Linked DNA regions of Lepisosteus oculatus. The protein of the gene in region 1 purifies or fractionates together with the protein of each later gene. This does not show direct contact. Links are inferred from orthologs where the notes say so. Each region holds a gene or a part of one and is shown in the gene's direction. Other genes may lie near its edges.

Evidence for each region.
Region 2: the proteins of synaptosomal-associated protein 23 (region 1) and vamp2 purify together in Homo sapiens (affinity purification with western blotting; 4 studies listed by BioGRID and IntAct, with this or other methods). This does not show direct contact. The link is inferred for Lepisosteus oculatus from reciprocal best matches to the Homo sapiens genes SNAP23 and VAMP2.
Region 3: the proteins of synaptosomal-associated protein 23 (region 1) and vamp3 purify together in Homo sapiens (affinity purification with western blotting; 6 studies listed by BioGRID and IntAct, with this or other methods). This does not show direct contact. The link is inferred for Lepisosteus oculatus from reciprocal best matches to the Homo sapiens genes SNAP23 and VAMP3.
Region 4: the proteins of synaptosomal-associated protein 23 (region 1) and stx6 purify together in Homo sapiens (affinity purification with mass spectrometry; 3 studies listed by BioGRID and IntAct, with this or other methods). This does not show direct contact. The link is inferred for Lepisosteus oculatus from reciprocal best matches to the Homo sapiens genes SNAP23 and STX6.

Annotation. Positions count from the first base shown.
Region 1 is NC_090703.1:20,902,020-20,909,448, forward strand, and holds the start of synaptosomal-associated protein 23, read left to right. Parts: upstream 1-4,408; 5' UTR 4,409-4,673; intron 4,674-5,887; exon of another isoform or gene 5,888-5,997; intron 5,998-7,429. Other genes in the region: zinc finger protein 106, read right to left, coding at 43-96. UniProt on the Homo sapiens protein: Essential component of the high affinity receptor for the general membrane fusion machinery and an important regulator of transport vesicle docking and fusion.
Region 2 is NC_090698.1:9,315,319-9,323,099, forward strand, and holds the start of vamp2 (vesicle-associated membrane protein 2), read left to right. Parts: upstream 1-4,776; 5' UTR 4,777-5,095; coding exon 5,096-5,097; intron 5,098-7,781. UniProt on the Homo sapiens protein: Involved in the targeting and/or fusion of transport vesicles to their target membrane. Major SNARE protein of synaptic vesicles which mediates fusion of synaptic vesicles to release neurotransmitters.
Region 3 is NC_090720.1:9,620,947-9,627,838, forward strand, and holds the start of vamp3 (vesicle-associated membrane protein 3), read left to right. Parts: upstream 1-3,888; 5' UTR 3,889-4,011; coding exon 4,012-4,013; intron 4,014-6,892. UniProt on the Homo sapiens protein: SNARE involved in vesicular transport from the late endosomes to the trans-Golgi network.
Region 4 is NC_090704.1:30,260,936-30,267,909, forward strand, and holds the start of stx6 (syntaxin-6), read left to right. Parts: upstream 1-3,971; 5' UTR 3,972-4,169; coding exon 4,170-4,204; intron 4,205-6,974. UniProt on the Homo sapiens protein: SNARE promoting movement of transport vesicles to target membranes. Targets endosomes to the trans-Golgi network, and may therefore function in retrograde trafficking.

The DNA of each region.
Region 1 (7,429 bases):
TGTCAAGTCCCTTTCAGTCTATTCTTTTCACAGTTGTGTTACCTTCTTTGAGTTGTAAACGATGTGGCAGAGAATGCACTTCCGTTCTTTTCCCATCTTGGAGCTTCTAGATAGACATCAAGCCATCACCTTGGGAAGCTGTGACAAAAAGCACAAGCCATATTAAAACACAGGTCAAAGACTCCGTTGGACAGAACCTCAGGACAGCTGCCTGGCTAAGCAAGTCATTTTCATCATATGGGTACAATGTGTGCTTTCTAACTAATAAACATAAGGGAGCTTACAAACAAGCATCCCATTTAGCAGCAAGTAGCTCACTGGTCAGCAGATCAAAAAGGCCTTACAAAGAACATTTATTTTTAATCTGAAATCAGGTCTTTTGGATTTTATATTATAGTCACTATCATTGCAGACAGATGCACAGATTTTATGCAGAACAGTCCTGATACATAACGCTCTTGAACTGGTGAGCCAAGTCTGCAGCCCTTCTGGACCTCACAGAATGCATCCTGGGTGATTTCTTTCAAGTCCACAATGAAAAGGCATTAGAGGCAGTAATTACAACACTGAGGTACACATGGGTTTTCTTAAAAAGATCATTCTGCAATTACTTCCCTGAACAAATCAGATAGGTGAGACCCTGGTGACTGTTACACTACAGCTCCCCATGTAGAAGGGCGGAGGAGCACTTACAGTAAGACTTTTAAACAATCTAAATGAAGCTTAGAGAGAAACGAAGAGGACGAGCAGAGCACGCTACCGTAATCTTACTGTGTCTGGACGAATCCAGCTCTAGAGCCTGACATTGCCACACTTCTTATCAATACACAAGAAACACACAGCTTTCAAACAGAACCAAATGGGAATATAGCAAGTGGGAAATAGTGAAAAATAGAAACTACTAAATGTTGCGGTATATTAACCAAAAAAATAAGTTTCAGGTACAGAATGTCATTGGGAAGCATAGCAAGCAACAGTCACAACATCTTTGCATCTTTATTTGCAGTGTGAAAGGTGAGAACTACTGCCTTCGGTAACAATTAACAACAGAGTTTAATAAGCTGTCCCTCTTAAACCCTCAAAGACTAAGCTAACCAATATACATTTCCTTAGTAGGACCCTTTATGTCCTTACAAGCAAGTTAAGGTCACTTATACATGTAATTGGAAGCAAATTCTTCTGCTATGAAGCAGCCCAACCTAATTTGAAAAAATTTAGCAGCCATCCCACTCACATTACTCCTGCTAACACAAGCAGAATACCCAGCAGAGGAGACACATTTTCATCTTGGGAAGTGCATGCCAAAAATAAAAACTGAATTCAACTTCTTTTTTAATGATTTTACGGGCAGTTCAAAGTTCTTTCTTTAAGATCTTGACCCATGTTTTGCACAGAGTTCTACTTCTAGCATACTACAATAAAGGCTCCTTTAAAGAAAGAAAAACTACACAAGAGAAATGCGCGATTCTGCCCTCTTGTTCATTTGGCTCGGCACAGCTTCACAGTGGGAGAATTCCATGTGCACATAGTGTCGACAGTCTTTCGCACGACGAATGTGCTTGTGTCTTCCTCACTTATTGTGAGGGGTGTTTCACAGCAGGCCTACACTCACGGCAAGGTACTATATAAGATAAGATAAGATCACTCTATTGGCCATATACAATTTCTTGTATTAGGAATTCATATTTTCGCATACCCCAACTTGCTCTCAATGAGACACACAGACAGGGAGAGAAGCTTGGGGTCAGAGCACAGGGTCAGCCATTTTTAGGGCGCCCCTAGAGCAGTTGGAGTTAAGGGCCTTGCTCAGGGGCCCAACGGAGTAGGATTCCTCTGCCGGGATACGAACTGGCAATCCTTCCAGCCACAGGTGGAGATCCTTAGCAACAGAGCCACCACACCGCTCATATAAGTGTTTGCTCTCATTTCCTATGCATTTAGAAAGTCAAATCTCAAACAAAAGGCATGTTCGATAGCCCACCCATTGTAGCAGACCTTCAAACTCTGTTACAGTAGGTCACACTGACAGAATGCCCTCTGCTACAAGTTAAGGACCAAATCCTAATCGGCAACTCTGTCCCTCCAACATCTGAGGCCACAGCTATTTTCAGCTGCAATAAAGAGAGTGAGATCATTCCTGGCATTTCTTTCGGCTTTCCAGTCCCCAGAGTGGCACCCAAGCAGCCCACTCACACACTTTGAAAGGAAATACAGGGACATCTGATTTAACAAATGGCTACTGTACTGCTCAGGGATCAAACCAGGATCGGGTTTCATCTGCAGCTGAAGCGTCAAACCAGAGAACAAAGATTTACTGATATAAAATGATCAAAAAGCATGTTTCCTACTATGCAGTATGTGTGCAGTGCTTTGTGTTTATCCAGATTACATTTTATTTGCATAGTATCTCCACCTTATGTTTCATTAGTTATAAACAAGATAGACACTTAATCTTAGAATTACTCCTTTTAAATCTAAAAACTATGAAAAGAAAGAAAATCAATAAACCGGTTGTATGATGCCAAGAAAAAAACACATCATGATTATTATTTACAGGTTGAGCACTCTGCTAATAAAAGCGGAAAGAATGTAAAGCTGTCACATGTATTACGGTTACTTCACTGTCACCTCTACTCTCATTATTTTTCACACTCACAGTGGGGAAACAGAGCCACAGTGCTATAGGCCACATTCGGTACTAAAAATCAAGGAAAAGCATGAGTGTGGATGTTAAGCTGTAGGTTATGAGTGTGGAGGCAGGTGAATGTTAGGTGGATACTGGTTGTAGAATTTGATATGGCAACGTCAACCATACAACCCGCACTCAAGAATGAGGATAACATTAGGATGCCTGTGCTATCGGCTTCTTCGTCAGCTGCAACCAAGACCTCCATGCAAGATAGAAAGATGACTCTATGGATAGCTGAACAAAGCCACAGAGGCACATGCTCTTAGGGCAGCTGGCCATCAGGGAGCAGATATTCCAGACCCTTATTATAACTGTGTAATGCTGCTATATCCTCTTTTTCCTTACTGTAAAACATGTTGAGGAGTCACTTTTAAAGTCGCTATATAAAATAGTTGTTCTCTACCATTATTTAAATATGTAATTTCCTATAGGAAGAAAAGAAGAGGGTATTTGCACTATCCTATTGCAGGCTGCTAGAGGCAAGTAAGTATAAATGAGTAGAAATGGCACAGTACACTATGCAATATATCTCTGGTGAGGCTGTGAGAGCAACAGTGTTTAGCCTGCATGTGAATTCCCCAACACCTTGCAACCAGTCATCAACCACAGCCACTGACCCCCCGCTGTCTATTTTATCATAATACAGCCAGAAGATTGCGGGGCGTTAGAAACTACAAGAAGGATTTTCAATGTCGGCATGTCACATTCTCCCCTTGAACTTGTTAAGGATTTAAACAGACAAAATTCATTTTATCTGCCTGAATAATTGAGCATCTTGCAGTGCTCGCTGCAAGATCAACTTCGTTTTCTTCGCAATAACACGAGTCGACGAAACTTCTTACAAATATATAACAGAAAGAGCTCCAATCCGGTGACTGGCCATTGGCCCGCCAATTTAAAGATAAGGGTCAGTTTTGATTTTCTAATCACTTAATCAATGGATTTATTCTATCAAGGGGGCTGCAGGGTATTTTGATGTTTGTACTTAATAGTCCTGGACTGTACCAAATGTTTCACTGATCACAGTTAATTGTTTCCAGGTCTGCGGAAGTGACCCCTTATAAACTTATCAATGGGGAAGAAGGAAGGCTCCGGGACCAGGTGATTTAATGCAGTCCATCTCTAGTAGCACGGTTATTTTTGTGATCATGGTTTAACCTTTAAATGATAAAGACTGTTTTTTTTAACAAAACGCTGCACTTCCTAAATACTCTACTGAAACGCTAATGAAAAAAAAACAATCACTAGTTACCGAGCACGCAACGAAATAATTTCATGAAGCAAGAGGTAGCATTGTGAGTGTTCAGGAAGCGCAGATAAAGACCTTAACATCGCCACGTATTGTACTTATAAACTCTGCAAAGCACTGTACTATTCGCTTTCCTTTAGCGGTAAGCAACTGAACTATGTCGCATCCCTGACAACATCTGGGCGCACTGAGCACCAAACTCGTACACGCTTCCATGTGTCCTACCTCGGAATTGCCTTTAAGGGACTCTCCTAGAGCCCATGGTCTGTAATCAGAAATCTGCGTCGTAGACTTCTATGCCACAGTGCACGCGCTTCCTGTTTAAACTGATATACTGTACTTCGTTTTAGCGGAATTATAACTATTCCCAGCACAATGCTGTTTTCGCCGCCATATTTGCGCGCGTCGACCCCGCCTCTTCCTTCTACGCAACAGAACTGAGGAAATACTGGGAGCGAATCGTGCTCAAGGAGCTCCTGGGAGCGGGGATTCAAGGCCGAGACTACATTTTTCTAGGACTTTGTTGTCTACGTGGAATAGGCATTTCTATACAAATTCTGTTAAAAAGCTCTGCGTTTCGAGTCTCACCTCCAGATCCCGGGCGGGGAAAGAAGGAGAGAAGACACGCTAGAGGTCCCCCGTCCTGCACCAGAGCGCCTGCTTTCGAATTGGTTACTGGTGTAACCCTGATTTTATCTGTTCCGCAATTGTTTATGCACAAGGCACCGCTTCAAGGTTTGTAATATTATAATTAAAACCAATAGTTTGTTTTTCCGCAATGTTCGTTTGCATTGTAATTGATCTTTTTAGGGTAGTACAATTATCGTGTGTGGTGAGCGTAGTGGTGCACTATGGCTACCGTCACATCATCCAGGTGCGGGGTGCACATTGGTGGTGGTGGAGGGGAGTCCCCATTACCTGTAAAGCGCTTTGAGTGGAGTGTCCAGACAAGCGCTATATACAGTAAGTGTAAGAAATGAGTAATTACTGTTATAGTATAGCTAGCTATATACAATTTCCATTGTATTATATACACGTCGTGGTGTTCATCAATGTTTTATGCGTATTATATGTAATTTTGAAAAACTGTTTTAAGATTTTCAACTGGTTTTGACACTCATCATGAAAAACGATTAACAGGTCTTAAAAATATAACAATGGGAAATGTTTAACACATCGGCATAGCAGCGTATCATTTTACTACACAACATGCTAAGTGTTTTAACATGATTAAATGAAAAGTGAAACGGTTTAATCTTCTGTCGTGACGACTAATGGAATTCTGCTGCTGGTTTCCTTTCACTACCAAATGTTCACAGTTGGCAAGATACATCTGATATTTGTACATTTTTAGTCTCATTCTTCAATAAATTAATTGGAATTATATGCAACACCAATAGCGTACTAATGGTATGGAGTATTTCAAAATTCCGAATATGTGTGTGTGTGTGTATAATTTGAATTAATAAAATAGTATTAAAGTATTATTGTTTCAGGAAGTGTTTTGTGTACTTTTTATTTCTCCATAAAAACATCTGTACAGAGAAAAAAAGAATACCGTTTATAGAAGTTATTCATAGCCCACTTCCAAGAATACGTCAACGAAACGTTAAATCTTCGTAAATGTTTAATTTCGTGTGAAAGTGAAATGTACGGAGGAAACCATTACAGCTCAAGAGTCATTCATTACATACGACATAGTCTAATCATTAAAATCATTTTGGTATATACACAGTGATGGGTCGGGGAAAGTGTAAAAAATGTTCTTTGTGTAAATTACAATTGATCATCCAGTTTAATTCCAAAACTAGATACAGCATGTTTGACGGGATTCATTTCTAAAGCACTTCCCTTTATTGGTGTTGGATAGGTTGTTTTCCTACTCTGTAAGGGATGACGTAATTCAAGTTTCCCAGCACTGGGACGCATGCTCAAAGCGGCCGCTGTCCTTAATCAGATCCTCGCATGCGCAGTGCAAATCAGTAGCCGACTGAAGGAATTTGTTTCGACTCTGTACCCCCGACTGGGAGCTCTGAGTGTGTTTCAACTTAAAATCACAGTAAGTATTATTTAATCCATCTGCGCTTTCTACCACCTTTCTTCAGCTGTCAGGGACTCAGAGGGTAGTCATTTTAAACTTTGTGAGAAGCTGGACTTCGTTATTTCTCGTCGCGGAAGGGTGTTCCGCTGCTGAAATAGCAGAGGAGAAAGAACAACTACACAGCTGTAAACAGGGTTTGAGCTAGTTAGAAGTACAAAGCAATAGTCTGCTAGAGAAACAAAACGGAACATGAAGAATAATTCTCTATGAATAAAAACAGCGAAACGCCTCTGTTCGTGGCGGCTGCCGGTATCAATCCACCCACTACAGGGAAAAATAAATGTTTTCCGTTTCGAAACGTCCACGGCTCCTTTGGAAGTCGGTAAAACTCGACCCTTTCCTATGATAATAACATGCAAAGAAGCGAGGACTCAGATCGGTTGTAGGGATTTTTCTTTTCGGCCTCAACATGAGGCATTGAAGAAATGGGGCTCTCCGCCGAGTGGGGGCTTCGCGAGTGTGGTGGGGGTGCTGTGGGTTTCCAGTTAAGGAAGATTCAGGAGTCATTAATTTTCAAGACCGCAACACAAGAGTGCTCTTCTATAGTTATGTTACTGGGAGACGGTTGTAAAAGTTGTATGTGAAGACTTCTGGAGCAGAAGTATCTGGCACGTACTTACTCCTTTGTGTGTTGGAAAAGACTAAACTTCTAAACTCCTTTGGAATTAAAAGATCTGAAAATGTTTCGCTCTCTAACGTTATAGATATCGTTATAAAACTATTCCACAACCGTTTTTGTAGCTACAACGATTCTCAAATAGTCTTTTTCAGTGAACTTTTTTCATTTACATATTTCTTTGGCTCCGTATCTGACGTAGATTAGTAAAAGTACTAGTAAAGCCGATATCATTTATGGATTTTTACACCCCAGTGGCTTTAGTTTGTTTACTTAGTGACCCTAACTATTGAAATAGATTATTTACAAATGTTTTTTTAAGATGAAGTTAGAATACCTATTTCATGGCTTCTAAAGCAGGGAAATAAGAGATCCAGAATTAAAAAAAATATCGTTCAAGTTGGAATAATGGCTTCTTCGAACCAATCATGTTGATTCCTGGACGGGAACACCTTGTGTGTGGAGCTTGCATGTTGCTCCCCACTGGCTTCAGTTTTCTCTAGGTGCTCCAGTGTCCTCCCACCTCGCAGCAATGTGCTCGCTGGGATCATTGTCATCGCAAACTGGGGCGTTTCTGTGTTAACATGCACTGCAATGGTCTGGTGTCCTGTCCAGGGTATAGTTCCTGGAGGCCACTGACCCTGACTGGGAACAACTATATTTCTGTTAACAGACTGATGGGTCTCGGGCAGGAGAGCTGCATTGCTGTGGGCAAGGGTGGGTTAACTTTAAATGAGGAAGCAGAGGAATCGTTCCAAGGCCTTGCTGTACCTC
Region 2 (7,781 bases), on another chromosome or scaffold:
GTCTTGAAAGGAGTTAAGACAAGCTGGCTCAACCTGCCTTTTTTTAGTACGGAGACTGTGACCGCATTTTCTGGAATGTAGAGGCGCTCGGACTGCTTCAAGCAGTGCTGCCCAGCACCAGACCTAGTGCAGCCTGTAGGTTTTTATTTCAATTAATGAATCAACTGGCTTCATTGGAGCTGTATAACAGCTGCTGATTGATAGGTGATGCTTTATTTGGCGAATGAGAGTTCTGGTGCCAGTAAGCTGTTCTCATAGGGTTGGATTTGGAAATATTGAGGATTAGCGTGACTTCTTTTAGACTGTTGAAATCTACTGTTTTTATGTTTCGTCACCACTGGGATGTGTTTTAGAAAACCAATAAATTCTTTATACAATGTAAGGTGCTGGATGTTTCTTTATAGCTATTTACTGTGGGCTTTTAAAGGGTTTTCTTTTAACAGTGATGCAGGGCACAAGTAGAATAAAAAGCTCACAAGAGGTGCTGGACTGCACATACAATGTTATCTCTGCATTCAATTCCTGTGACTCCAGGAAAAGAGTGATCTGGTTTCCTGAGCCATGCTGCCATTTCCTGCTCTGGTTATTCCCCTTCTAGTGAGCAGGTTCACTGGTTTCTGCTGATCTTTTATCCATCAGCCTCCACTCCATCAGTTGGCTGTCGTTCTGTGCCATATGTTTTGCTCCCTCTTGGGAACATCCACCAATCCGTGTTTGAGACGAGGTTAAATTAGACCCAGTCGTGGAAGTTGTCGTGGTTGGCTCAAGACCATTCCCTTCATCTTGCTCGGGTTCACAGGGAGGGGTTTATGCCGTTTCTCTTGTGATGAAACGGCACCTCCAGTGGCAGGTCTGTCCGTCGCTGCAGAGCTTCAGTCCTGTGTGCAGTGCCGGGCTGTCTGCTCCAGGCTTGGGGTGTGCTGCACAAGGACCAGGAAGGATCTCGGTCTCTTCTGGGCGATTGTGCTCTGATTGGCGTTTGTGTCAGACCTGCTGTTTTTAATAATCTGGGACTCTGCATGATTTCAAACCAGGGAGAGATTTCTTCACAATCGCTGAGCATTTTTTCCAGCTATGGTGGTTTTGCCAAAAAAGGGTGACTATAGAAATTGCTGAATGTCTAGTGGTGGGATAAGTCTGACTTCCACCACACTTCAACTTGTAGTGTTTTAATTGGCCTGATTTCATTCTTGAGATCTCTTTGTTGTCCTACGTGCTCCTAGTAACGATGAAGCTTTCAGCTGGCTTTTGATATGTAAAAGTTAAATGCTGCTATATGCAGAATAATTCAAAAAGTTTGCAGTGAGTCAAATTTATTGGTTGAAAGAGGGGATTGGGGAGGGGGCGTCATCAGGAGTGTGGTTGCATAGGGGGGTCCTAAAGGCCTGGATTGGGCCAATGGCCTGGTTTGGGATGCAAGCAGAACGCCAGGCCTTTTGTTTGTGATTTAAAGTATACAGTTAAAAAATCTCATCTCGCCTCGCCTCCCCTCCACCCCTTCTGATGCTGCGACTGGCAGAGCACTGTGCCACTTTGAATTCCAAGATGCTGAAGGCGCTGTCGCCCGCTCGCTGCCAGCCTAAAAATAGCTGCCGTCAGGCCGGCACGGGCGGAGAGGAGTCGGGAGATTATCCGATGCGACAGTGGCAGCCCCCCCACTTTTCACACACGTCAAGTGCAGCAGTGTTGAGGGTGCGAAGTGGGTGCTGGGACCTAATTAACACCTGGGCCTGGTGTGAGAGCCTGGCTGCCTGGAATTCTTTCAATCCGAAGTTGAGGTGTTTGTGTAGGAGAGAAGAAGGGAAAAAAAGAGGCGAGAAGCAACTATCTTGTTGGCGATTCCCCCAGGATTCCTAGAGAATCCGTAGGCAGTGCAAGCACAGAAACGGGAGACGTGTGGATCCGTTTCGAACCAGATTTATGTTTATAAATCTTTTTGTTCTTGAGCTCTCCAAAGATGTTCAGCATTTTGGGTGCTTTGCAGTGGCAGAAAGAAGGAACGATGATAATTGCTTATGCTTATATAGTACTTTTCTGGACACTCTACTCAGAACACATCACAGGTAAAGGGGACTCCCCTCCACCACCACCACCACCACCACCACCACCACCACCCATGTGCAGCCCCACCTGGATGATGCAATGGCAGCCATAGTGCACCAGTACACCCACCACACACCAGCTGTCAGTGGAGAGGAGAACAGAGTGATGGAGCCAGTTCAGAGATGGGGATTATTAGGAGGCCATGACTGGTAAAGGCCTGCGGGAAATTTAGCAAACACCCCTATTCTTTTTGAGAAACACCCACACAGACCACAGGGTGAGCGCCCCCTGCTGGCCCTACTGACACCTCTTCCAGCAGCAACCTTAGCTTTTCCAGTAGGTCTCCCATCCAGCTACTGGCCAGGCTCACAGCTGTTGAGCTTCAGTAGGACTGCCAGTCGAGAGCTGCAGGGTGATATGGCTGCTGGTAAGCAGAGCCGGGAGAGAGCTTTCCTCTCAATGCATTGATCTGGTGCCCCAGGAGATCATTACTCAGGAGTAATGGGGAACAGATTCCATCACCAGATCTCCTCCAATTTCCTCCTACTCCCAGCTCAGATCCTCATTTTTTCTACCTGCTATCGACAGACACTGCCCTTCCTTGTAACAGCTGTCCGAATTAATCTTGTGGGCTACCAGAGAGTGTCGGTTTGTATTAAAGAGCTCAAGAGTGGAGACCGATCAGATGAGACCACTTCAGCACTTGTTTCTGATTTGTACATTAGTAACTCATCCAGAGTTTTCCTGAAAGACTCCAAGACGATAGTTTTGGTTTCGTAACTGGGCAGCTTGTTCCAGACTCCCACTGCCCTTTGTGTAAAGAGGTGCCTCCTACTCTTGAGTGTCGCATGCCGGCGACTTCGTATTCTCATTTTTGTTGATTGCTTTCAGTTATGTCAATTTATTTAGCAGAATTCAACCCTTATCTATTTTCTTATATATTTTTCGCCATCAGCATTGTAACTCGGCCAGCGCCTTGCATCGTCTATCTCTTAAGTGTTGTTGTTACGAATGCGACTGCGCCAGGCGGAGAGCGGGATCTGTGTTTTTCTGATTTACCACATATGGTAAAGGAATGGTACACGTCTGGATTAAATCGATCCTTTCCCTGGCAAATACTTTGTGTCTTAAAGAATTACGTCTTCTGCCCAAGCAAGATATTATGATGCCCTAATGTTTAGGTGCAAGCCTTTTGCGTGAATAACTGGTTTGCTGTGAAATCCGAGAGAAATAAATAAAAGAATTAAAGTTTGGAGTAGGCGCAAATAAAGTCATTCATACTTTTTCAGAGACGGCTCGTATGGTAGCGTGGCCGAGCGGTCTAAGGCGCTGGATTAAGGCTCCAGTCTCTTCGGGGGCGTGGGTTCGAATCCCACCGCTGCCAATAATCCATTTTAGTTTAAAATAGTTCAGAATTAGGATAGACAAGGAGATACCATCTGTGGTGATAGCAGTTTTACAGACTGTGCGGCAGCTTTGCTCATTTTTCTGCAGATCCCTAGCGTGAAGAAGCGCGGTCAGATCTGAAATCCCAGCTCTCTTTCCACATGCTCAGTCTGCAGGCTCTCGAGCTTGTTGCCTTCGGTCCAGTTAAGCAATGTTTTGGGGGGGGGGAAGGGTGGAGTGTAGGGGCGGGGAGAGGGCTGTCACGGAAAGGTCAATTTTTTGTTTTGTACCTGTTCAGATTTTATTTTCACAAAGCAACACACCCCGCTTCGGACGATTTGAATTCATCGCTCAGCCTTCGTGACGCGCTGAAACGTTCTAGAATTTGAGACGCGGGAGATGGATTTTATTTATTTGTTTGTTTGTTCAAAAAAGAAGGCCACGCTACGAGTTAAAAGTTGGGCGGCATCTTTCTGGCGCTGCCGACAGGTCCAGAAGCCAGAGAGCCAAGTCACTGCGCCGCCATTTTGTTGTGCCTCCCACGGTACCCTGGCTCTCTTTCCCGTCTTTCTCCTCTCTCGACATCGTTTCTCTGAGGCGTAAATACACCCTCCCTTCCCCGGTAACACTCCTGCGTTTAAAATACAGGACGCCCCTTCGTCTTTTTTCCAAACAATTCACGAAAATGAGACTTTTTGCAAAATACAGCGCCATGTATATGTATGGCCGTTATGTTACAGCGCCATCTTCCCTCATCCTCGTCATCTATTTGAAAAGCTGACAGGAAAACATTCAGGGGGAAAAAAAAACTATAACATGTAAACATTAGGACTAAGCCGTGTAATGAGAGCCGGGGCTTTGTGCGAGTGTGCGGGGGGGAGGCGGGGTGGGGCGACTCTTAACAGTGTGCAGGGAATGCAGGACTACAACAACAGGAAAAGATTTTTAAAAACTTTCCGACAATTAAGCGTTTTAACAAAAACAACGCCGCTGTTCGACTGTTTCGTGAGGAAACAGAAAAACGCACCCCAGGATAGACGGTTTGTCCCCTGAAAAAGCTGACATTAATGACAGACACAACTAAAAAAAAAAAGAAAAAACACCCCTTTATGAACTTGACCTATTGAAAATTCACCCAGACTGCTAGTACACTGTTAGTTCGTGTTCTGGAGAATAAAAAGAAGAAGCGCTAGTTCAGTAGATATTTTAAAAGTTTATTTTTTCCCGTCAATATAGCACGATTCCCAGTATATTGCCTACAGGTTATGCGATTCCAACCCCCCGCCCCCTCCATCTCTCCAGCTCCCCGGAGCTGCCCCGGATGACGGATGACGTCAACAGGCCATCTTTGTTCTCAGAGCCCAGCGCCTGTGTTTTTTTTTTTCCCAATATCCCTACAGCTCGAGCGCCTGGACCCATCCGCGCGCGAGGCAGCCATCCTCTCCCATCGATTTGCACGGTAGAAACTGAATAAATAAGACCGAAGACGGGGACAGGACCACCGCCTACAATATAAAGGGACACATCAGCGACCGCAGCGGGGGAACATAAAATACAAACATCGACAAAATCTGAACAGAATATTTAAAAAAAATATATTGACACCTATTCACAAGAAAAATAATCTAGAACGCCAGAAGCATATACTTAACAGACCACAAACGAGATGTGAGTACGAATAATTGGTTTTGCATGTAGGCGTTAGGTATAATATATATATATATTTGTATTTAATTGTCTGCTAAATGAGGATTTTCACAGGCGGGCGAGATGCAATGAATACACCCCAGGCTGCCCTACCCCTGCCCTCTCTCCGAATTGCCAGAAAGGGTCAGATAACGGGGCGGCAGAGTGGATATTTTCCGAGTGTCCTTTTATTTCACCACCGTATGAGAGGACAGAGAGAAATAATGAAGCGTCTTGTTTAAACGCAGTACTGTGTCACTCCGGACAGAACCAGCCCTTCGCGTTGTGTTGTACAGGAGCCGAGAAATGTTTGTAATTATTGTCACTTTTAATTTTGTTTTCCCCCCTAATCATCTCTTAGAAATACGCTTTCCTTTCGGCGAACAACACAAGCCTCTCTCGCCATCTCACGTGGGTTGGATGTAAACCATTTGTGTCGGGTTTCTAGCCGATTTTCTTCGGCGTTTTGAGTCGCAAAACAAGCGGCTTAGACGACTCCCTGCGCTGGTTTGCGAGAAGCGAGCGGGGGTCGCGGTTTTGGGTCAAGACGTTGATGGCGTTTGTGCCGACAGCGCTGTGGTTCCCTGTCTTACATGGGGGCGATATCCCGGGGTAATCGCGGCGCCCGTTCGTGGGCTTGTGTAGGGCTGTCACGGGAGGACGGAGAGGGGGCTGGGTGTGCGGTTCTGGACGGTCCGGGCGCCAGTGGACCGCATCCCCACCGAGGAAGGACTCCGTGTTTCCCGGCCGATCAGGGCCGGCTGCTGGGATTTCGGGATGGCGATATCACCCCCGGTCTCGACAGGTTGATCGCGACAGGGGAAGGAAAAGCAGTCTGGTTTGGATGCAGCCCGGTGCTCCTGACTGCGATGTGTTCGCCCACAGCTACACTGTAATGTAGCTCGGAAAGATGGACAGAAGACTCGACCTGACAGGTTTTCCGCTGCCCGTCGTTGTAATAAGGGATCTGGTTGCTTAGGCGTCCACTCTGATATTTGTTTTTGAAAGGGAGCAAACATGACTGTTTCAGAGGAGCACAATTTATATAAGATGTCAGAAATATGGAGGATGAGGGTGATGGTGATGACGATGATGGTGATGATGATGACGGGCAGAACGCTGTCATTTATAGCGCTGGCGACCGGGGGCTCGTGTCGGTCGTCCGCCGCCTCAGGTGACGGATCGGGAGCAGAGAGCGGACCGGCGGCCGGAGTCGGTTCTGTGAGCTTCACCGATCCAAAACGAGCGTGGAGCCGCAGGGATCGGGCGTGATTATGGAAATTTAACGATATATTTTTTTTTTAAAGAGGGGGTATTTTTGTATTCAGCGCTTCGTGAATGTGATTGTAATGTGATTGAGCGTGCAGGTTTTTTTTTTTGATGAATCACGCTTCTCGAATGAGCTACCCCCCTCCTCCTCCTCCTCCTCGCCCCCCCCGTCTCTCTCACCCTCTCTCCGGTTTAACGGAGAGGTAGGGCTCCACCATCCAGCCCACGACGCACTCGGGTGTATCCGCGCCGCCCCGAGAAGATGAGGTGTTGTCTTTTTAAAACCGGACACCCGAGGAGTACACGGGGGGGGTCGCGCCGGGTGGGCGGGCGGAAAGAGCTAACTTGTCATTCTCAGGCCCCGGGGTGTGAGTGTGCGCAGATCCCCCCATCTCCGCGTCCTGTCCCCTGCCTCCTGCCTCTCGCCTCTTCTTGCGTTGTAGCTCTCTGTCCGTCACTTACACGCCACTAATCTGCATGCAATCACAGCAAAGACAGGTTGCTCTTGCCTGGTATGTTCTCTGTGCCTTTGTTTACATGTGTCCATCCATATCTCTCAAAATATCAAGGGTGCCCTGTCTCGAATACACTTGGGCGAGAAGATCGCCGATATGTACCTGCAATACACACCTGAAATGCCGCACCGCATTTTTTTGGTTTTGTTTTCGCGGTGAGGTTGCGGCGTGTACTTCTGTATAAAAGCAAACCTCTCGTTCTGGGGATCCGTCTCTGACGTGACGCGTTCCTGCGTAGGGCACGAGAGCGCAGCTCGCCTCTCGCCTCTCGCCGGCGGGCGGGAGTGCGCGCCCGTGCGCGGCGCGTGTTGGCAGGGCCAGGCTCCGCTCTTCCAAGATGGCTGTGGCGTCAAACCCCTTGAGCAGCGCGGGGAGGAGGGGAGGGGGGGTGTTGTGTTTTTATTTCTTGGAAGAGGACGGATTTGCCGTCTAAAAATAGCTCGAGACGCGAATAGTGGTAGATCTGGAATCAAATGAAAGCAGAGGAATGAACACAATTTTATCAGAAGTCCAGTGGTATAGGTCCTGTGACAGTAACCCATGGCTATTTCACTTGGGGATTTCCGTATGAGCAGCATCTGGCTTTTGAGCAACACACCAAAGAAGAGGTTTAGTGTGGATTTTACACAGCACTCTGCACTGTGGGATTAACGTGACACCACTTAGAGGTGACCTTTATTCGGAATTCTGTCTCCCCCGGCTGGCTGGACTGTGTCATGGCGGGTCTTGCGCCAGAAGGCTCATGTTTACCATATTAATCACACAGCCAGTTGTCTGATGTTTTATTGGTAGTCACAGTCACAGGGATAGACTCTTATAGTCCCTGTGGAGTCCAGTACACTGACACAGCCCAGTCACAGGGCTCTAGACTCTTACAGTCCC
Region 3 (6,892 bases), on another chromosome or scaffold:
GTAGCTGTGCTTCTCCTGCAACCTGCAGCCCCTGACATGGAAAAATACTACTGAGGAATCTAATTCATTTCTTTCACAATGAAAGTTATTGCTGATGTAAAACCTTAAACCAAAAGTCTGAAATAGTCCAAGAGGTCAGTGGGTTTAATTAGATGTGCCCCAATTCCATTAGTGGGCGTTACGGATTGCTTTGACAGCTAGATTCTGGGATGTGTTGGCTAATAATCCATCGTCTGATTTAATTAGTTGAAAAATACTGCCAGTGTGCCAATAGAATTTGACTTATTATTGATTTTAATTATGAATAATGCTGTGCTAAAACACTCCAGAAGTGCAGTTTCTTGATTCATGATGAACATTAGGATTTAGGGTTATTCTGTTTTTGTGTAGCTTGTTTTGGAGCAGAATGTGCGAAGGTTGCGTGTTGTCTAGGTCCGTTGTGCATTCACGCCAGGCGACCCTACTGTAGATATATCAGAAGTACCTGATGCACCCAGCCTTGGCTGGAATGCCAGCATGCAGACAGTGAAACATAGACTGGCAGTGATATCTATGGAATTACTGCCAGATCAGCATGGTGAGGTGTGTTTAAAGCCGCCACATGCGTGTGTCTCTTCCATGCAGACACGGGACATTGGCCTACAGTGTGCAAACATATGAGCACACAGTTCGTCCTACACACAAAGTCAAATGTCTTACCCCTCCATACTCAGGAGTTAACAAGCAGTGCAAGAAGTCTTAACCTTCTCTATGAATCATTGTCTCTTACACTGTCATATACAGAAAGATAAAATACACTTTATTGTTCCCTAGGGGAAAAGTTTTATGGACACACATTGCTTCTGTGCATCTGAATATATCGCACAAAATGACACATCACATCAATCGCGCATGCATAACTAATTACAAAACATAACCATGATATATTACGCTTGCATAGTTTGTTACAGCATAAACATATACTGACACAATGGCATTGACCCTTGCCATTTATGTGTATTAACTGCTTCAATAGATAAGGGAACAAATGAATATTTGTATTTATATGATTTACGTTTAGGAGCCCTGAAAGATTGATTCGTGAGGAAAAGGGGATGTTCATAGGGATATTCAGAATGAAGAATTTGTGAAGGATCTGATATCATTTTACCGCCTGTCTGATCATGGATTTTAAAAAAATTGTTAGCTGGAGTTCTGCTTCACATCTCCAGTGCAAGACAGTGCAAACAGGTCAGTTGTTTAGCACAGCAGATTTCATCATATGGAGGTGTTTTGCATTTTTAGAGTGTTTTGGCAAAGTATTACTACAAAATTGGCTGTTAGATTTACTTTGGTAGTTGGTCCCATGATCCCATCTCCCATGGATACTAAAAGACACATGTAGCGTTTTTAACGTGAGAAACATTAGGAAGCAGCAAAGAAACTCCTCCTTCACCAGTGATGTCGATCACAAAGATCCGGCTTGTGTTTGGCAGCCCCTTTCGCTGGAATTTGTAAAAGCGGCTCATTAACTATTTTAATTGAGTTGAGTGAAATTCATCTCGGCTCCAAAGCATCCGATTTCAAGAAAATCCTGGAATTAAAGGGAATCCTAGAATACTGTCCGTTCACATTTTAAAGATGGGGAAATTTCACATGCTAGTATCCGAGTCCGATCTTGGAGAAAGGTGATAGGCATCGAATTTTGAGTGTCAACTCCAGCTGTAGTAACTGGACACCACAGACCCACACACACCTCCCGCACTGCACTCGAACACAAAGCAGGTTGGATCACTGGGGAAATATCAGAGCAGATTCTTACAGTACAGGGCTTTCTCCTTACAGACACAAAGCAATAAATCTTTTTTTTGTTGGGAGTGAGATCTCCAGGTCTCTAGAAGAATATCAAGTACACCTAGTTAACTTCCACTTCTGCAGTTGCCAGTATTGCGAGACAGGTGTTCAGTGATTTATGGACAGCGATATCATGAAACCCCTGGCCTAGTTGCACGTTTTTCATCATTTCCAAAAAAAAATTTAAAAAAAAAACAACAAAAAATGGCCCTGCTTTTTTTAACAAGGCAGTGGGCCCCCAACACTTTGCATGTGAAACTAGTGTTAGATCTTTCTCTCCTCTCTGTCTGTCTAATTTCCCCTCTGTTGGACTCCTTCTCTCTGTTCCTGCTCCCTGCCCCCTTCTCTCCCCTTCTCTCTCCGTGTCTGTCTCTCTCTCTCTTTTGTAAGTTTTATTTTTGTAATTGTGCATGTAAAAGCGTCACTGAATCGATGGAAATGTTTAAAAAAATTTAAAAAAGAATTCAGCTGCTGAAGCCATGCAAAACGTTTTGAATTGCCCTTAAAATATGGAAGATGTTTTCTGAATGCTTTATATTCTTTCTGCTGTAAAATAATAAAAAAATGAAGAAAATTCTCATAGTATGATGTTGCTTTGTTTTGTTTTTTCTGTTACATTTGAACTTTCATGATGGAAATCTGTGTATACCCTGAAAATAAACGCTGAAGACTTTAGGCTGGGCTTATGGTTGGCAGTATGAGTATCGTTGGGTCTTTTCCATGATAATCAATAAACTCAAGTGAATTTGCTATCAATACTGATACAGTGCTAATTAAAGATGAATAAATTGCTGTTAATGCAATGTTGACAGTGCAATTGTCACTTAATACCAGAAAAAAATAAGTGCTTGTCGTAGAGAGACACTAATTGGAAACCGTAAATGCTGTCTGAGCGGAACACTCTTCATTATAGCCACGATTGTTTCCTTCGGTCCAGGAGACTCGTGCTGACAGGCTCCCAGGGGTTCTGTGATCTTGGTAATATTCGCTCAGAGACCATTCTCAGTGTCTAATTCGACACAGCTGTAGGTGTCCACGTGGAGTTGGAGCATGTTGGCTTGAGACAGTTGAGGAGCACGATGAATGTGCTACAGCTCTCTGCCTCTCTAAAACTGCTGGTTCACAGCTCTATAGGCCATAAGCGTTGCTGTGTCATTTTCCAGAAAAGTATTAGTGTTCTGAATCCTAAGAGCAACATGATTTCCAGGGCACAGGTGGGGCTGCACACTGGTGGTGGTGGAGGGGAGTCCCCATTACCTGTTAAGCACTTTGAGTGAAGTATCAAGAAAAGCTCTATGTAAGCGTAAGCAATTATTATTATTATTATTATTATTATTATTGTTGTTGTTGTTGTTGTTGTTGTTGTTGTTGTTGTTGTTGTTGTTAAGATCAATGCTGAAATATTTACCAGAGGAGTGTTCCTTGAGATTTCCATTGCTAAACCCGTTCGGGTCCTACAAGCAATGAACATCACTCTGTTCTGCCAGGATGATCTGTATAGTTCTTAACTGTGTCTCTGTTCTTGAGTATGTGTTGGAGAACGACCTGTCATTTTCCAACAGGAGTCTCCTCTCTTTATTTATAGTCTTGTTCTCGGGATGCTCGAGGCCACGCAAAGCCGGTCACACGCGTGCTCGTCACGGGTGGGCATCCGAAGGGGCGCTGGGTATAAAAGAAACAGCTGCTTGCAAACTGGTGTCTCACTAGAGTACACTCTGGAGACTTTCTAAAGTAAATCGACTTGTAGGTCAATCTTGCAATGCTAAAAAAACAACAACCGCTTGAAACCAAAAATAAATAAATAAAAAGGCTACGACAAAAAGTGAACGCATCTGATGGACAGTCCCTTTCATGAGACGTTTTTGTTTATTGCGATCAAGTTAATTATTTAGTTAATTTAATCCAGAATTATTTAACTCCAGTCAGATGTGTGCAGTCTGGAGCAAAGGCAAGAACAGAAATGCACCGAACTTAAACACTTAAAACACTTAAAATACATGGCCTCAGGCAAGGTAGAGGGTTAGAGATTTGTAAAAGTGCGAGAAAACGGTCGAACAGCGACCGGGAGTGAGCTGGGAAGTGCGCTGTGTCTTTAAATCCTGCTGTGAAAGTTGGTCGCACTAGCTGACACCACCTCAGCCCGATTTACACTTGGTTGCTGGTCCCGTTGCGGTAATCATGTAAGTATGTTTCTCCCGGTCAAACCCGGTGCCGTTCGGGCCCCGGCCCAGAGGGTGGGCCGCGAAAACAACATTTCGACACCGAAACCGAGCGGCGGTTTTCCCGTTTCGACGTGTGAAGGGCGCCCGTGTGAGGTGTCGGGGATGCGGGCAAAGGGCGTTTGTCCCGAGTCAAGTTGCCGGGCAAGAACGAGGCTTCGTCTTAAGTTTTGACTTGTAGGCCCGTTGTTCTGTTTTTGTTTTTAAACTTTATAACAAATCCGTCGAGGTCTGAAACGGTAAAGCCAGGATCCAGGACACCATTGTCTGTGTGTTTGCTGCATATGTGTTACTTTGTTGAGGTTTTTTTTTTTTACTATGGGAAGTAAACGGTTTTTAATGGACCCGGCGCTGTTACTCTTTTTTGAGTAAACGCTTCATTATTTTTTTTACATGATCAAGAGTTACGTTAAAAGAAAGCCGGTACTGGATCATTCGCCACTTTGCATTTTCGGTTTTTCGTTATTGAAGAAGTAACGCAGTTGAGGTGGTTTATTTTCTTGCTTTAGGAAAGGGGGGGGGGGCTTCTCTTATTTAAAATTAACCGAAATTTTCCGCAGTTTGGTTTTTACTTTTGCGTTTTGGTGTCATGTTTTAATATGCTTTATAAGAGACGTGTCGTTGTGCGGGAAATTACTTTAATAATTGACCTCGCTGTGGTCACCTCGGGTGTGTCCAGGCGCACTATCTTGCATAACTTGCTCTGAAATCACTCTTGAGAGTATATTTTAAGTGGCCGGGATTCAAACGGCTGTCCAAACCTTACATGCAACAGGCAAGTTTTATTTTTAAAAGCTCGCTTAAAGCATAGGACGCTTATCTCGGAGGTAGCACCTATTAATCGCGATGCCCACAGTGCTGTTAACACTCCCAGGAAAATCGCAGTTTGGGTCGTTGTTTGATTATGTTCAACTTCGTAATTCATATGTACAAGGTACGACATTTATTATATTTAGGAAGAAAAATGCAATGCAAAGGACTGGGGAATTCTGTTCTGAACAAAAAGCCTAAGAAAAGCATATCCTCGTTACTAATTCATCGATTTTTCTGCTGCTTTTATTGAAATCGCCCTATATTTTGCATCCATTTATACATCTGGACAGTCTGCTGAAGCTGTGTGGGCGAATGCTAACGAGGGGGATCGCCTCAAATCTTCTTGGTAAAATAAATGAGAAGACAGATGTTATAGGTGGAAGAACGTCCTGTATGAAGTTTGCAAGCCTTCCTCGTTCCCATGTGTCTTTTTCCCATTTCATTTTCCTCCCAGCTCATGGGGGCTTGCTGGCCAGGGGGATTCGCGTCCCTAAGGTTTCCCTGTGCCTGCTCGAGACCCGCCCTTTACGCTGGGTCTGTGTCCCGATCCCCGCAGCTCTCGGGTGGTTGAAGGGGCTACAGGTAACGGGCTGATGGGGTCTCTGAGGCAAGAGGCGGTGGTGGCCATTCGGACGAGGCGAGGACGAGATGACGTCGCGCCAGGGCTGCTTTGAGGTCGTTCCTAGCCCGACCTAGCCTTTCCATTCTTGCGTACTGCAGACGCGCCTCTTTAAGATAAGATCACTTTATTAGCCCTATACAACTTCTTGTATTAGGAATTTGTCTTTTCGCATACCCCAGCTTGCTCTCCATGAGACACACAGACAGGGAGAGAAGCTGGGGGTCAGAGCACAGGGTCGGCCATTTATACGGCGCCCCTGGAGCAGCTGGGGTGAAGGGCCTTGCTCAGGGGCCCAACGGAGTAGGATTCCCCTGCCGGCCGCGGGATACGAACCGGCAACCTTCCAGCCACAGGCGCGGATCCTGAGCCACAGAGCCACCTCTCCGTCTTTCCCCCTTCGCCCTGTCCAACTGCCACAACGGCCGTGCTTGTGGCAGGAGCCCAGTGAGGCTGGCGGTGGTGCCAGCCGGTCCCCGGCCCCTTCGCCTCCTGCTCTGGTGGACCGGCCGCCTCGCTCCACTGGTGGGGATGAAGGGGCAGAGATCCGCCTCAGGCATGTGATCGCCTCAGGCGGGCCAGAGAGGAGGTTTCTCCTTCAGCCAGGGGGAGATGGCCAGCTGTGTGGCGCAGTGCCTTTGTGCTCCTGCTGGGGATCAGCGCGTGGCTCTGAATTGCAAGATGTCGCAACAGCTCAGGCTGTGCTGTACTTGGGGCTGTTCCCGGGCAGGCAGACAGGAGACGTCCATTCCTTGAGACACAGGAAGCCCCAAATTCCTACATGCCGCGTGGATCCTGAGGATGTCTTGGGTCTCTGCAGAATCGCGCTGGAAAGTGAATTTAGAAGATTAAAGAACACCAGAAATACCTCGTCTATTCATGCATCATTTAAAATACTTTATACTTTGGTTGCCGACAATCTGAACACGACGGTTATCTCTTGTAGTATAAAATAGCGGTCTGATACTGGGCTGTTGAGAAAAAGAGCCACACAGCCAGAAGAATATTAATCCCCTTAGGTGTTTGTTAGTCTGACTGCAGAGGAAACGCAGACTATTGCATTGTGGCTCATGTGTAGCTTGGAGGGGACTTTTCTGGCTTAGTTTACAGATCCCCTATTTTGGAAAAAGGCACTGGTGCCTGGTTTATGTCAACGTTTAGTCAGCGGCAGCTCTGGTTCATCGCGTTTGTGGCTGTCAGTCCAAGTGTCGTACACCCTGAATAACATCGATAGGTGGTGTCTACCTGCTTCTTTTGAACAGGCTGCAAATAGTAAATAAAAATGGAAAAATGCAAAGTTTAAATTCAGCTTAACCTCTGTTGTGTGGATCCTCATTAGTCCCTTAATCTGTCCATCCTTTCTGTGACTGATTCTTCTAATTCTGGGTCGCAGGGATACAATTCCCTG
Region 4 (6,974 bases), on another chromosome or scaffold:
CTCACACTCACGCCAAATTTCCCAAAAACCAATGAACCTACCAGCCTGAGGAGGGGTATCGGAGCACCTGGAGGAAACCCACAGGAACCTGGGGAGAACATACAAACTCCACATAGATAATTCCCCAGGAATTGAACTCAGGACCCAATATGCTGCGAGACTACAGTAGTGACCACTCTGCCAACGTGCCGCCCTCAGTGTGTTTTATTATTTTTTAAAGTAACTAAAGACACTGCGGTACTTCTCTATCAAACGCCGGCTGCATGTGAGGTTCTTTGCTCCCAGTATGGTATGGCAGTGGTAGACAACACCACCACCGCTACCCAGACAATATTTGTCGCTTTGGAATCTGCTCGATTGGCTTTTGGCATTTTCCAGACCTGCTGGACAAGAACTGAAGGGATGCACATTTCCACTGACGTTACAACACCTATTTCTGAACCATCTGCAAATATGACAGGTTTTCTGTCCATCCCAGAGTCAGAAATCAATTATATAGATTGGGAAGAGCAGCAGTCCAAGAACTGACCTCCGCAGTACTGCCCTACAGACCTATTATGTGCACATGAGCATATTTTTTTTTTATTCATGTGCACACATTACACAGAAATTCTGAAATTTGAACTATCCATCCATTTTCTAACTAATTATCCCAATACAGGGTCATACGGAAGCTGGAGCCTATCCCGGCAAGCAACGAGCACAAGGCAGGGTACCTCAAACGTACATGTGCCTTCCAACGTACAAGCTGAAATACTAGGTACACAGCACCACAAAGGGTTAATGTGCAAGGGATGTAGATTTGTAGGTCACGGTGTGACTGTTCTCCCAAAATATCCCTCAAGCATCAACTCTGTCCTTGCAAAGATTTACAATCAAGTCACTGTAGCCTTTGAATTAACACCTCGTGTAAGAGTATGCGCCCCTTCCACCAGCCCCAGTGCACGCCCACCTCTTCAGTTCTGCGCCACGAGAGCTTTGAGCTCTTAAGCGAACATGACATAAACACTGAAGATTTGAACTGGAAGCTCAGAAAAGTTACAGGCTTGCCAAATTCCATGGTACTTTCCATCTTGTTCTAATTATTTGCCTTTTCTAGGAATTTTTTTTTTTGGGTTGCATGTTCTTTTCCAGGTCTTGCAAATGGCATTGATTATGGCATACAAAAGCAATGCTTTTGATCAGATTTCTGTCAATTTGGCTTCACCACAAAAAGCAGAGTCTGGTCAATATACTGGGCGCCAGTATTTTGTTGAGCAGCACGATTTTCCAAAGCCAAACATATTTTGCTATATTGCAGTAAAGGAGACCAACTGCGCATCCTAATCCATAAACAGAATCCACGGTCAAGAACATGTTGTGCCAAAGAAGACTACAACTGTCCTGGCCGCTGGAAACCTTTGTACAGCAAAAGGACATCTGTACAGAGACGCGCAGGATTATCTCGAAAGGAGGCACCCGTCAATTTGGCACAAGGATCCACAAAGAAATTCAAAAGCATTTAAAGTGACAAATGAAATTAAATGGAACATAATCTATAGAAAATCCACAAGTCAGGAAGACAACCCAGGGGAAAAAAGAAACATCAAAGGACCAGTTAACTTAGTCGATGCTGGATTATTAGAAACAAAAGGGGCAGACGTAACCATATTAGCAGAAGATAATGAAGTCAGTGGAATCACAACTACATGTTAAACAGAGAACAGTGGTAATACAATATCAGAGGAGAGAGAGACAGGATCACTGGAAGAGGGGGAAGTTTAGCACTATATGGCACAAAGAACATTCAAGTGCAAGAGCTGAATCTTGACAAATGAAGGATATATATTGGTTGCTTTGATTTAAAAGGCATAGTTTTGGGAGTATCCTAGAGACTTGCACAATCAGATGACATTTATAATATATCCTTTGGCACTTTATCTCAGGAATATAGTATCAATATTATAAGGAAGAAACGATTAATTTCCCTTATATAGTCGGAAACTGAACTCCCATCCCTAAAACTGAAATGGTAGACATTAGCCACTGCTTTCTTACTCCATAGGAGTACTTACTAGAAAGAACGCCCTTATTCATCTAGTGTTCTCAAATAAGCAAGACAGAGTGAGGAAAACAAAGGTAAGAGAACTGTGATCATATTATGGTACGCTTTGAGGTAAAAACCTGTAACAGTACAAAACAAATGTCAAGAATTCCACAGAAGCAGACTGAAGGAATGAAACAGAGACTAAGAGAAGCAGAATGGAGTCGGACAATACAATGCAAAAAGAGAACAGCTGATGACAGTTTAAAGATATTCTGCTTGAAGCTTAAAACAGATTCAACCCGAGACTAAATCAAAGTCTAGTAATCAGTGACCGTATGGCTTAAATCACTAACAAATAAAAATATAAGATGAAAGAAAGTGTATTACAAAATGATTAATTAGGTACTAGAAGCACTATGTTAAGATAACCAAATCACCAGGGCCTGATGCTATTCAATCGGCTGCATTTAGAGAAGTAAGAAATGTTGGAGTCCATTATATATGTTGTTACAAATGGGAGGTTATGCGAATTTACTAATTTAGCGGTTTAGTCAATAAAATAATAAAATAAATAATCATAACCCACAACTTGTAAGGATTTTGCCAAGAATATACTTAAGTGGTTGGTATGATTAGAGGCACATGAGTTATTTGTTCTCTGGTACAGCTTTGGTGAAAAAAGTAACGATTCACACACAGTGTGTTAAGCAAACATTTATTTAAAAACTTACAGCACACTAAACATACAACGTACAAGTTACTGAATTTTAAAATTTACAGTCAAGGCATTCCAGAAGCCTACGTCTAGACCACCCAGAAAGCCCTCCGACTGCTAACATGTATTCAAACTCATAACACCTACAAAGGCCAGAATAGGACAAAGCTGCATTCTAAACCTAACAAAATACAACTTGTGGTTAAATCTCTCTCTGTAAATCCAGATGCCACCAAATTTAAGGGAACCTATCTCCCCATTCCAAAAATGCACCCACTACATAGGAGAGGCTGTTTTTAACAGAGGAATCCTTCACTCCGGAAATCAGAATTCCCTAAAAAACAGAATAGTGAGCTCTCTTAGAAAGGTGCAAATACTTAGCACCAATCTGGTGTTTATGGGTGATGTAGACAAGGACCTCTCACCCGGCACTTGGTTTGTGTTCTGTATCCTAGTGTATCCTCTCTTGTTCTGTTCTGATCCTCCCGCCCTCCATGTATCTCTGTCTTTTTATCCCTCCGACACTCTTAATTATTTTCCCAGAACGAAGGTGAACATCAGAACTAAGTTAAATTAACTCAAATAAACCAGAAGATTCTTTTGATCAGCATCTCACATACAGCACAACCTCAGAACTACGGCAATTAAGTAATGATAGATGGAAAATAAACATGGTTTGAAGCTCTATAAAGTGGAAATGACACTAGTTAGGTGCTACCAATTTGTACCTAGATTCTTAGAGACACTTACATTGTCACTTACCATAGCCTGTAACGATATCATAGATCATGAACACCCTTTTCTTCCCGAAGTACCACTGATCTTTGCAACAGTCAAGTTCGGGTTATACTTTTAAATACCAGATGTAAGTAAAATTATTACTACCATTTTTGTCGATTCGTTTACAGCGTGGTTTCGAATAACCCTTTATGAAGTCAAAGCACGATTTTAAACTTTGACGGCAGAAATCATTTTTCGTCCAGTGGTGACACTGCAGTCGTGCTTTCGATTAGAAATGTTTATATCGAAACGTAACGTACTTGTTTCGCTTTCTAATGAGTCTGTTCCATCCGGTCTGTAACCACAAACTTCGCGCTTGCATGATGTTAACGTGACTCACGTAACTGTCTTTTTTTTTTTTTTTTTTTCGACTACCCAGGAAGAAACTCTCACAACAACCCCCCAACGCTATACTCACAGTCGTGCTAATTCCGCCTCTTCCTTTTACTCAGCTTTGTGACCTCCGACCCGGCAGTAATTTCAACCAACGATGGAGGAGGAGTGGAGAGAGCTTTAATTGTCTTTATATAAACAGAAAATTCACTGCAAATTCTTCTCGCAAAAATATAAACCGCAGAGCGACCGCTGTCCCTGGTAATCGGAGTATGACGGTACCGAGGCCCTGAACATTTCGTCAACAGGTGCAGGATGTCAATGGAGGACCCGTTTTTCGTGGTGAAGGGGTGAGTTTTGAGCTCTCTGCTCCTGTAACCTAGAACAATGGTGGATTGTTTTCCAGTCGAGCCCAGCCAAAGTCTGGGATAACGCAGTCTCTGGGGAGAGACAAGGCGGTGTTGTCGCCTCAGGGTCTCGTTGAAGTCTTACCGTATTTTAGTGTTTTCAATGGCGGTTCTGTATGTTTTGCATACAACGAATGGTGAGCAGGATTGACCGTTAGGCCTGTAACACGTTTTAACATGATTTGTAGAGTAAATGTGATGGGGAACTTGCGTTTTGTTGTAAGACAGCAGCCATCCGCTGAGTCTCACTGCTTCTCCTTACGTTTTAAAATCCGCTTGTGGATTTTGAGACCCGGGTCCGATGCACGGCTTGGCGTGTTATCACAATTCAGTTTGTTTTTATATAGCGCCTTTCACAACAAGGTGGCCCCAAGGCGTTTAACAAAGCAAGGGGATGTTTTCTTTTGCTGGCAAAGGGTTTTTCTCTTCTCCAGTTTGCTCTTGTCGAAGCTAGTTCCATCGTCAGAATTGATAGTGTCCCACACCGTTTTCACTTGAGCCCGTTAGTCGTGACGTGCTATTGTAGGGCTGAAGACAGTGTCCCGACAGTGACCGTCCACAACTGCTACCTCAGACTTTTCCCTGGCTGGGGAGGAAAGACCCATTGCATCGCATTATGAGTCACTGGTATTTTTCCATGACGCGCTACCCTGACCTTTGGCTCCATGAGTGGATTGCTCCAAACTCATGAGTAAACCCGCGGAGGTCGGCGATCATAGTTCTGCTTCACTATCGCCGTGTGCACAAAGACAGATGCCTTGGGAAAACATAAACATTGATTAAACTGCGTGAGTAACTGCTGCAGTTGTTTTTTTTTTATATCTGTAAGCTATTTTCTTTTAGGAAAATGGCATCAAGACATTTTCGAAGCTACATATGGGAGATTAATTTCCCCCATTTAGCACAAAATAGCGCATTAGTTGCTGCTGGCTAAAATACTACCTGAAATATTTAGGTGCCTACTGCGTGATGGACGTTCCATCTATCTAAAATAATCATCTAAAAAAAAATGAAGCAAAACTAAACATAAAGATGTATTCCATGCTGAAAAGAGAAGAAAGGAAACAGTGTTTCAGCTGTTGAGCCTTCTTTGGGTATGAGGGCGAGCTTAACGTAATTTACTGTCTCAAAAACTCAAAACAAGACAGTTGTAAGGTATTGTCTCGTAAATAAGCAGCAAGGTAACAGACAATCCAAGACACAAGTCTATCGAGAAGAAAGCCACTAATTCCTGCAGAGGGTTGTGCAGTTTGGAGACTACCCTGGAAGCACAGAGCACAAGGCAGGACTACTGATGGGATGCCAGTCCACCACTGGGCACACAGGAACAATTACACACTCCTTCTGATCCATCTGACCCAGCCAGCATGTCTGGGGTAGGTGGGTGGAAACTGGCACTCACAGAACGAGCCCATATTGAAGTGATTTAAGGTTTCAGTGAGATGACCTGATTGATACCATGAGGTTTTAGACTGAAACCAGTCTGTTTGAATTGAGAATGATCTCATTTGTAACTCACTAAAACCAGGTGTGTGGTTATTTCTGCATGCTGGGGGTGAAATACAGTAGTGGATCTACAGTAGGGGAGGGAGGAGGAATATAGGAGCTTGATTACCAATTTTGTGGAGTGGTGTCATCTTAACCATCTCCAGCTTAACACCAGCAAGACCAAAGAAATTATCTTTGACTTTCGAAGGAATAAGTCTCCGCTAAACCCTGTTTCCATCCAGGGTGAGGACATAGAGGGCGTACATTCCTACAAGTACTTAGGGGTACACCTGGATGATAAGCTGGAGTGGTCTGGTAACACTGATGCCCTGTACAAGAAAGGTCAGAGCCAACTCTATTTTCTTAGGAGACTCAGGTCCTTTGGTGTGTGTGGAACACTGCTACACATTTTTTATGAATCAGTGGTGGCGGCGGCCATTTTCTACGCTGTGGTGTGCTGGGGCAGCAGCATCATGACAAAAGATGTAAATAGGCTCAATAAACTCATCAAGAAGGCTGGCACTGTGCTGAGGATGAGCCTTGACCCCATGGAGGTGGTGGCTGAGAGGAGAATGCTGACCAAGCTCACAGCCATCATGAACAACACCTCTCATCCGCTTCATGGGACTGTTACTGGGCAGCGGAGCACATTTAGCAATAGACTGCTCAAGCTACGGTGTTCAAGGGAACGTTTCCGCAGGTCTTTCCTCCCGGCGGCTGTCAGGGTGTATAACGCTGCCCTAGGCTAGGACTTTTAGCCATTCATTTGCTTCTCTATGGACAGCATGTTTACTCCATTGTACTTTTTGGACAATCAGTCTGTATAAACCTATGCACATTTTGCACATATTTTATTGTTTTTACAGTGACTATGATCAGCACATTTTGCACACACCTATGTATTTATTTATTTTTATTTATCATGTTTGTCTTTTGTTTAATAACTATTCTGATGTCTGTTTTGCTTGTCTTGGGCTGGACTGCTGTAACACATCAATTTCCCTACGGGATTAATAAAGTATTATCTATCTATCTTGAACCCAGCTGGTCCAGGAGCACCTCTGTTATCAACTGACCCTTTTAGACCCTTAATAAGGAGTTTATGAAGTGTGCACTAGGATTGTTCACTTATTCCTGATTATATATCTTGTCCTGCATGACATTTGAAATCTGTTAAGAAGAGTGTTTGAAATGTATCCTTACGCTTGTACTGCACTTTTCTGGA